2 linked regions of the Nothobranchius furzeri genome follow. The protein of the gene in region 2 binds, or shares a complex with, the protein of the main gene of each other region. Links are inferred from orthologs where the notes say so. Each region holds a gene or a part of one and is shown on either strand. Other genes may lie near its edges.

Region 1 (5,197 bases), on a different chromosome or scaffold from region 2:
CACTGCTTCCCAATCCTTCCCTGGAGGTGCTTTGCGATCACGGACCAGCGCTTGGGGCCATACTTGTGAACCAAGTCGATCACCTGCACCAACAGCAAACCACAAGCATTTATAAATAGCCCGGGCATAAACAAAGCTCATTAGGCTCTATGTAAACACTTGTAATAAAATCAGTTTGAATCTATTCTTTAAAGAACATTATTTAGCAGCATTGATCCATTGAAGGAATTCATTTCTATAAGCTAAAAAAAACATCTCCCTGACTAAGAAAGGGCTGGACTCTAGCTTTGGAAAGTGTGCATGTGTGTTTTTTTCTTTAAAGAATGATGTAATGGATATTTCACTTCACACACACACACACACACACACACACAAATAGGAAAAGGGGCGGGTGGGGGATAAATAAACCCAATTTAAGCGGGAAAACAGCTGCGTGAGGACACAACAGGTTCTCTGAGTGTCATAGATATTACGTTCTTCACAAACTCCCTACAGCTCTGCTATCCTTCTGCTCTTTAGTCATCCCTCTCTCCCAAACAGAACCTCCCAGCTCCACTTACCTTTTGATCCTCCTCTTTTGTCCACGGTCCTTTTACCAGCTCGGGGTTGAGCACCTTCTGCCAGCGGTGCTGACACTGACCATCTGTCCTCCCCTGTGACACAAAGTGTAACACCTTTTGTCAGCTACAATGACAGCTGTGTTTAACTGTATCTTTGCAGTTACACATCCAAATGCAGCTGGTGCAGGTAAGAGTCAGAAGGAGATATTAAAAATGATTTCTGTTTAATACTCACAGGAAAAAGGTTAGCGATTAATTTCCAGGATTCAGTTCCATGCTGCTCTATGAGTTTCTTCAGTTTTTCATCCTTAAAAAATAGAATAACAGAAAATATAGACGGTGAGAATTAAATGTTAACCCTGATCTTTCTAAATGAGGGTGCAATTAAAGTTGTTCTTACATATTAGGGCGGCAGTCATTTACATTTTTAGTCTGAACTTGAAAAACTCACTTCATCCCGAGACCACTTGACTTTGCACAGCGTCTTTTTATCTTTGTTCTTTTCTTTACTCTCTGGATCTGTGGAAAGCAGCTCGTCGTCTTCATCAGTGCTAAAACACACAGGTGAAAAAAGCAGAAAAAAGTAAAAACACTATTGTTTTCTGCTCACCATCAGTGCCTTAGGAGTGTTTTCTTCTCAACAACTAAACCAGGTCCCATTTCAGTTCTTCACTGCATTCTTGGGAGATTACAAAAGCCCAGTTTTACCATGCTAAATCTAATTCAGAATGTTGGCATTAACTACTTGTTTGACCGGATTTGTGCAACACTGACTTAGGTTTTGTATCTGAGTAAGAAAAAAAGACGTTCTTTGCTGTAGAAACCTTTATGAGGCCAGATTTTCTCACTTTGAGCAGGAGAAAAGTGACCGAGTCTGGACGTAAAGTCGAACAGGAAGGAGAGGTGTAATGAAACTGGTGATCTCGCATCAACAGCAGCCTTTCAGTAGCAGAGGTGCATGAGAGTGAGCCTCTGTGAATAAGGTGGAGGTGTGGTCAAAGGCTTGGCAAAGCCCTAACGGTCCACTGGTTCAAAATACAAAATAAACACACTAATATAAAGTCCTGGCATTTAGCTTAGCATAATTTTAAATCACATAGCAATACCTGGAATACTTTTTACCAATAATATCAAAATGTCCTAATTTTTTAGGACTGAAACTGACCCTGATAAACAAAAGAAAGATTTCAGTGATGATTTATATTTTAGTTGCGACAGTTTTGCTGGTTATTTAAATTAATAAAAAATCAAAAAACAGTTTAACATGATCATTTCAACAATTTAGTTTGTTTGACACGGTTTTGTGAGTTAGATGCCAAAAACACAGATTTTCATAATCAGTAACCAACGAATAAATACAGCAATCAATGTGACATTTTGCATCATAATATGGCAACATTTGATTAGGAATCACATGACTCAAGTATTTACTGCTTTTGGTTTAAATTACTTCTCAACTCAGAGACAGAGTACATTAAAAGAGCTTCATGGACTTATAGGTTTATTTCTCCACGTCTTTTTTGCCCTGCAGTAAAAAAAAGGAATGAAGGGGGGAAATAGTAGTAAACTGCAGTATGCACTTTAGTCTTGCTTTTTATTCATTTATGTTGATGTATTTAGCAGACGCTTTTGTCCAAAGTGACTTTCAAGTTATAATAAAGTCAGCAGGTTATCCTTGAGGCTAACAAAAATATTTAGGGTTAATTCAGCCAGTACTACACTTTTGGGTAATGCTCTTTTGAATTATTATGCTATTATTATTATTATTATTATTGTTGTTGTTCTTTATTATATCCCTCTACAGTAGATCTTCTGAGATGTTCAGGTGCACATGAACGTTAACGCCCACCCTGCTTCCACAACATTCAGGCTGAATTATCCAAAATTATTACATTTATAGGCTGATAAGATCACAAGGGGCAAACAAAAAGATGGCAAGTGAACCATATCTAATAAAATCACCTACCTGCGTGACTTGACGTTGTCCATAGCCAGTAGGATGATTGAATATTATCAAAGACGAAGCTGTGTTTGGAAATTTTCTGAAGTCCCGCATTAACAGAGGTTTATCCATAGAAACTGATGTTAGTCATTGCTGTTTTGTTTGCGGTAACTGTGCGGCTAGCTAACGGGCTAACTGTCTTCATAACATTGCTCTCTGTGCAAACGCCATTTTCACTTCCGATAAAATCGTCTCGGCAGATATGAAAGTCGTCCTTGTGTCCCTTGCTGGTACGTCTTTCTTAAAAATGTAGTGTTACACAACAAAACGCCGGAATTTAGATAGAGGAACCGACACATTACTTTCATTACTCGCCGTCAGAACGGGTTCTCGTAATCTTTCCCCTGTGCGTACAGCTCCGTGGCGTTATGATTTTTGTCCATCCCGCCGATTCTCGCGCCCAGCCCTCTGCGCAGGCGGCCTCGGTTCCTATTGGTCAAAACTGGGCTGCCAAAAAAAAGAAGTGAATGCTCAAAGCTAATAGGTCAATTGAGGAGGAACTGTTCGTAACCGATTGGTTGAATTTTTCACGAGCGTACTCTTCATTGGATGAGATTTGAGGGAGGCGGGTGTTCACTTTCACAACTCCTCGGGAGAATGGATGTGGTGGGTTCAGACGGGTTGACGGGGCTGCGGGGGCTTTGGTCCTTTGGGGATGTTGGTGACAGAAGATGTGGAACCTATTTTCCCATAAAACAAACATTTGCACATTTAATCACTCATATCTTAAACATATAGCTCCTCGTGAAGTTCTTCGCAGATCATGTAGGGTTCGTGTGCAAAACTGTGAAATGTATGTTGCTCATAATTGGCATGATAAAACATCTGTGACTCAAAATATTACATCATCTTTGTGATATAATAATATTTGCATTGTGTTTGAGAGCGAACTTTCTCTGCCGCCTTAAGAAACTGGAATTTGCTGCCATCTAGTGGGCATTTAGACTTTCACCGGTGTTTTTCCCATTTTCCCCGTGACATGCAATCTTAGCATTAGTATCTCTGAATTTTTTTTATTGCAGTGGTTAGCAGACAAACTATCTATAATAACAATAGAAAGTTTTCTTTTGTTCCCCTGTAAGCCTTTAAAATTTTGGATGCAAATTATGAGACATTTTACAGTTTTCTAATAGTAGGTGTCCCTCATGTGTCCCATTTTCACTGTTAGACTACTGTGTGCTTCTTAAAGACGGAAAAGCGGAAGTAGGATCGTTGTATTCTGATGAAAATAAAAGCCTCTTTAATTCCACTCACGTTATTATAAATAATAATTACAATAACAATATGAAATAATAATAATAATAATCAAATTATACTGTGCGATTTCACACAATTTTGAATCTGATTACAAAATGAGCAATTTCCTATTGCATCATAATTGCACAAGTATTTTTAGACTACCAGCATAAAGATAACAGCGACTGAATTAAAGCTTGTTTGAATTATGCAAAGAGCTTGTTAGAAATCAGAGTAATGGCCTAAAATGCTGCAGAAAGACTTGGATTGTAGCTGCAAGAAATAATACATGTGTGCATATATCTGTTTTTGTAAAAATCATAATAAATAAAGACATATAAATATACATAAAATGTGTAAAAGACTTTGTTACCTAGTTTTATTTTGAAATAAAGAAAATGTGGTTGATAGAGTATTTGGCTGCTGGTATTAATATTTGGAACCTTGTGCAGGAAAAACACACAAATTCCTGCTTCTCCTGACGTTCATGAGAGGTGAGGAAATGCTTTTATTTGTGTGTTGAGCTGTTTTTTGCTTCAGGTTTAATATTGTCCTGATTTTTTAATATAGTGTAACACAAAAGATTATTCTTATAGTTTGTCTTGTACTTCTAGCCTATATACTTTTGTTTTTTTCTTTTGTCTGAATTTATTTGGAAATCCACGTCTTTCCATTTGTAGTTAACCCTATGGTTGTTTGCTTTTTACTTGATGTGACGTGTGACTGCTAAAATAAACTCACTCTCCATTTCCCTATTAAAACTTAGCTTTGAAAGCAAAACGATTAGCTGCGTTATGCTAGTTAATGCCAATGCCCTCAGTGTAAATCACCAACTCACTGCTGAGTCGTGATAACAGACTAAAGCTAGTAAACACATCCTTCTTTTTAAGCGATTCGGCTCAGAGTGTCACTTCTAAAAAGCTCAGAGTGGAAACAATGCTCAGATTTCTTTTTAATCTAATTGCTTAGGCAGATCATCAACAGACTTATATCCTTCACATTTTTTAAGACAAGTATTTGACTTCTTATTTTCTGTTGAGCTGAATCTGTACCAAAACATGATATAGGTCAGCGGTATTTTACTCAGTATTGGTACTCGGTATCAGCAAGTACTCACTTTGGAAAGAATGTGGTACTGAGGCATTGCTAAAATTCATCCACTAGTTCATGAGATGTCCTGCTAAAAAACACACAATCCAGGCAAAAAACTAAGGATACTTAACCGTCACAATGCAGATAAATAAATAAATTATAACCACAAAAAAGAGGAGCTCCCTTTATGTGATTAGTTCTGTCTTTGCAGCTAAAACAAAAGACTAAACTGGCTCTGCGCTATATTTTGTTGTGCAATAGACAAATAAATGTATAAGAGGATTGATTTGCTGTACATTTGAATCCT
Region 2 (5,074 bases):
TACAGCCCAGGCCCTCCAGAACATCCCACAAGAACACTCAGCTTTCAATTACCTCCAATAGCAGCACTTATCAGACTCCATCGCTGTCCCCAGAGATTTGGGGCTTGATGCCCACACTCACATCCACGACTGGGGCATTCATCATGGGGCGGGGTAACAGCTGGGGCCTGAAGAGGAGGCACGCGTCAAACCCCTGTGGGACTAACTGGGCCGGCGTCACACCGCCACTCTTTAGGAGTGATGGAGGAACGGCCGTGTGCTGCATCCTCCCTTCACAGCTTTAATAACACGTCATACAGATGTACACAAGCAAAGGCAGGAATCTTAATGATTTCTGCTTAGAGCTATTTTCTCACAGCAGAGTGGCGGCGGAGTTTCCACTGCTTGATTGTGTCGCGCCCATTAACCAGCTCGCTCTTTTAATGATCCACATGTTATGGGGGAGGGGCAGTAAATCCTGTCCTCTGCGGGGCGTGTTTACGGGCAGTGAAGAGCGCACAAACATGATGAAAAAGTAGCTGAGATTTACCGGCCTCCCCTGACAGCCAGGAAAAGAAGAAAATTAAACCAGAGAGCATTAAACAGGCAGCGATTACAGGCCTGCTCTGACACCAATAATAACCATCATTGTGTCCCGTCATCCCCGAGTACATGACATGACTGCAGAGGCTGCGGCCCTGCACCTATGACAGCTAGCGTCTTCATACCAGAGCCACTACACACTTCCTCTGCTGGAGGCAAGGCAAACAAATCATTTCTAAAATTAATTATTTCACAAAATGAATCAATCTGATTTCTGCAACATTAAAATATTGATTTGCTTTACCACCAAATGTAGATCACTCTGGGGTGATTTTTTTATTATAGATGAACATTTTCTTGTTAAAGTGGCATTAAAGTTTTATTAAACCTTCTACAAACTATTTATTATCATTAAAGAACCGACATCATGGCTGCCATCTACCCTGCTGTTTAAACTCACATTATTTTACACAATTTGCTACCATTTCAGTTTATTTACACATGTCGCTGAAGAGGAGGTGTACAACGATTCTCTTACGCTAGAAACATTAAAAACATTTTTATCTTCTTTTAGGATAATATCAGCACTTAGCTACATCTCTCTAATCCACACTCCAGAAGGATTATTACAATGGAGGCGGGAGGGAATGGATTAAAACAAGAGCTTGTGCATCCATCATATTCTTGAGCATTTGCTTGTGTGAGCTCTTGGTGGCATGCACTCATTTCTTACTTGTTTACATTTAACAAGACTGACCTAAATCCTTGTTTTAAAGATCTTACGGCCAACCTGTTTTATGCAGACTCTAAATTACAATTGCACTTTCAATAACATCTACTCTGATTTTGAATAATAAATAACATCCATGTGATTTTAGCCTATTTTGAACAAACAAAAAGTAAATCTGATTCTGCAACTAAACGTAGTAGTGGAAAGGCTACTAGCACCACCTGGTGGTGATAGACGTAAACAGCTGATTGGGAAAACTAAAAACTACACGAACACATCACAGCCTATGTTTTCATGTTGTTTGTGTGTTTTGTACTTACACTCCTCTAAACCCAGCTGGTAAGCCAGGTTCTGAAGTCCTTTGACCTTCTCCATCAGGTTAGCTGTTGTCAGACTACCCAGCTCTGCAGAGTGATTACAAGGCAAAGATTTTAAGCTCCAGTTTGATCAACTCAGTTTCTCCTTGACAAGATTATATATTTATGGAAACACTAACCAGTACAACAGTTTTAACATGAAACGCTGCAGGCACAGAGAAAATCTTTCTAATTAAACATATATTAAAAAAAAAAACAATTGTACCAACCTTTTAACATCTCGATGTCCTCGCTTTCCAATTCAGCCATCCACTTAGGGGGTGAGCTTGTAATGGGCTGTAATAAAAATAAATGATATTATACGGCAATGCCAAATCTAAATGATTATTTAATGTATTAATCTCAGTTAATGACAAAAAACGTATCTTACGTTTTTATAGGATGCAGCAAATTCTGCAACTCCGGGTACTGTGTGAGAAATGACAGGACAGATAAGGTTAAACTGTGGGACCATAAAGAAGCACAGAGGAGATGAAAACTTACACTGCTCAGGCCACAGGTCTGGTGACGCTCTGTCCAGCTTTTCTAAACTAAGCAAAGAGCTTTCAAAATCATCACCTGGCAAAGAAAAGGAAGTAAAATTATGTTCAGAATTCAGGCAGAAATTTCAGAGCTTTAGAACAAAATGTGATCTTCTTGATGTAAATACAAGTAAAATGTGTGACTTATGGACCATTCCCATCTGTACCGGGTCGGCCCGGGCCGGGTAGCCCCAGTCGGCCCCATCCTGGCCCGGTTGATTCCACACATCCTTGTCTTACGCCCATGTGGGCTGATTCTACCCACCAATCAGAGGCTTGCTCTAATGGAAGGTGTGAATTTGCTGTCAGCAGTGGGTGTGTTGGCCCTGGTCGGCCTGAAGCAGACCCCCTCGAGAAGAGGGCTGAGAATGAGCCTTGGTTGGTCCGGAAAAATACCAGGCCACCCAGATATGTAAACAACCAACGCTACCCGGCCCGGACCGACCCGGTACAGATGGGAATGGCCCATATGACTACAGCCAAACAAATGTCAAAATGTAACCACAACAGTTAATACAATATGTTGGCTGTATTAAAACAAAATATGTGTACAAGATAAATACTGATTAATCAGCTGTTCTTAAAAAAATTACTAATATTTGGGAGGTTTAGTTTATTTATCATACCTTTCATTTTTAAATGTTGCTTGATTCAAGTCCCTATACAACCATTTCTGCTAGGCTGTGACAACAACTGTGTGCTGATTATTCAAAAACTATTCTTAAAACCAATATTTAGTGTAACAATTTGTGTTAGCATTATGCTTCCTAATACATGACCCTACATAGTGTGTGTGTGTGTACATATATATATATATATATATATATATATATATATATATATATATATATATATATATATATATATATATATATATATATATAACCTTTCAAAAACCTTTCAAAATATGTTGATGTGAAACAAATAATGCCTCAAAATGTTGGAAAAATGTCGTAAATATTAATTATTAGGCCAGTATTTAACAAAGAGGCAACTCAAAAGCTAGTAGTATTTAAAATATCAGGAGTTACGGAAGGTCTGCAGCCAGCTGTCTACTGTTCTTCCTTGAACGTTGGTGGACTAACAACACCGGGGCTAGTGGAGCCTTCAGTCAAACAAAACCACCTCCGAGAAGTCGGACTACAACGCTGATATGTGTAGTTCTGAATTCTGGGTGTTCAGCTACATCATCAATACATTCGTGGAATAATTTGTGTGATTTAAAGTGTTAAATTTTACATTTTTTAACAGCGTATCTGTGTAAGGAATTAAAATTTACCTCCATTCGGAGACGCCATCTTCACAATAATCACGTGACCCGTGACAACGAATAGGAGTCAATGTTGACAAAGCCTTGTAAATTCACAAACACACCACAAGAGGTCACTCTTACACACCAAAGCCGTGTTCCTGGGGGTAAAATGAATAAACTAATAATTTTATAATAAGTGTCAGGGGCGATCCTAGCATCAGAGGTTTAGGGGTGCTAAGCACACAGCGAGTTCCATGGCCAGGCAAGATACATTTCAACATTTTGTACAATTTTACACAATTTCATTCCAACATTTGTGAAAGAAAAGAAAATCGGTGTTTTTACAAATAGATCTGTGGTTTTACATATCACAATCTATGTTGAACAGATTTTGCTATCTGTGTACAACAATTTGGTCCAAGTTCGAAGAGTCTGGGTCAGTGGTTCCCAACCCTTTTTCTTTGATGACCCAATACAGGATCTATTTTATGGTTTTTGGTGCAATATTTTCTAACAGTGAGTGAAAGTCCGTTTTATTTATTTCTTTTTTTTGTTTGTTTGTTTTATTCATTTATTTAGAAGTTCGATTCTGAACATTCTAATGTTAACAAGAGTTTTATTTGCTGCATTTTAAAGGGTGTACTTGCATTATTATGATATATTAAAATTATATAAGTGATTATTTTGGTCTCGATAATGTCAACAATAATATTGTTTATTGGCAATAATTTGTTGGACAATATATTGTCCTGCAAAATCTGTTATCGTCCCAGGCCTAGTTCACTTGTACAAACTACTTAAAAATTAAAAATCAGCAAATCTATTTTATTTTTCTGTGTACAACAAAATTTTAGCTATTAGCTATAGCTGGGGCTATTAGCAGTTAAAACAGAGATGGATTTTTTTTAAGCTTTATTAAAATAAGAGGCTAAATATTCTCTTCAGAATGTCTAAAAGGAACGTGCAGTACCAGATTTCAGTTGGAAATTAGAGTGTCGTTCTATTTATTGCCAGCGGAGCTAGCAACTATATGTGATTGAATTTTTGAAAAATCTAAAGAGGCTAAATATTCCCTTCTAAATGGATTTAAAAATCGGATGTGCAGTATCAAATTTCAGACACTAGAGGGCAGCAAATACTCCCTTCTTGTCTGCATGCAGTTGGAAACCTGTGTTGTTCTGTTATTTGCCAGCAGAGGGCGCACATTCTCCATTCTTTCAACGAAACAAGTGTTTTAAAAAATAGAGCAAGAGTTTCTACTAAGTCCGTCTTGTAAAAATCTATTTAGACAAAGAACAAAAAGAACCCATATTCAATTTGGTTACTTGTTTCTTAACTTATAAACTTTCTAAATAAATTATATCACTTAAAAGTAATGCAGGTTTTAAATTAGTGTTAACAGCATAGTCAAAATAATGTGAAAGCCAGACGTTTTCACTTAAACCTATTAAAACTCAACAAATCTATTTATTTTCTGTGTTCAACTGAAACTTTGTCAACGAACTACAGCTGGAGATATTAGCAGCTAGCAACTAAACATTACAATTTCTTTTAAAGCTTTATTAAGATAAAGAGGCTAATAATATTCTCTTCTAAACGGCTAAAACGTGATGGCGCAGTACCAGATTTCAGACACTGGAGGGCAGCAACTCCAATCTTTCCTTCTGTCTTT

The links. The genes of interacting proteins can lie anywhere in the genome.
Region 1: lin52 (region 2) and mybl1 share a complex: the UniProt entries of both Homo sapiens proteins name them as parts of the DREAM complex. The link is inferred for Nothobranchius furzeri from reciprocal best matches to the Homo sapiens genes LIN52 and MYBL1.

The regions. Positions count from the first base shown.
Region 1 is NC_091747.1:51,691,399-51,696,595, forward strand, and holds the start of mybl1 (myb-related protein A), read right to left. Parts: upstream 3,171-5,197; 5' UTR 2,550-3,170; coding exon 2,527-2,549; intron 1,112-2,526; coding exon 1,012-1,111; intron 868-1,011; coding exon 796-867; intron 654-795; coding exon 561-653; intron 84-560; coding exon 1-83. UniProt on the Homo sapiens protein: Transcription factor that specifically recognizes the sequence 5'-YAAC[GT]G-3'.
Region 2 is NC_091758.1:32,967,410-32,972,483, reverse strand, and holds the start of lin52 (protein lin-52 homolog), read right to left. Parts: upstream 3,532-5,074; 5' UTR 3,449-3,531; coding exon 3,430-3,448; intron 2,188-3,429; coding exon 2,113-2,187; intron 2,038-2,112; coding exon 2,000-2,037; intron 1,906-1,999; coding exon 1,839-1,905; intron 1,657-1,838; coding exon 1,573-1,656; intron 168-1,572; coding exon of another isoform or gene 142-167; exon of another isoform or gene 1-141.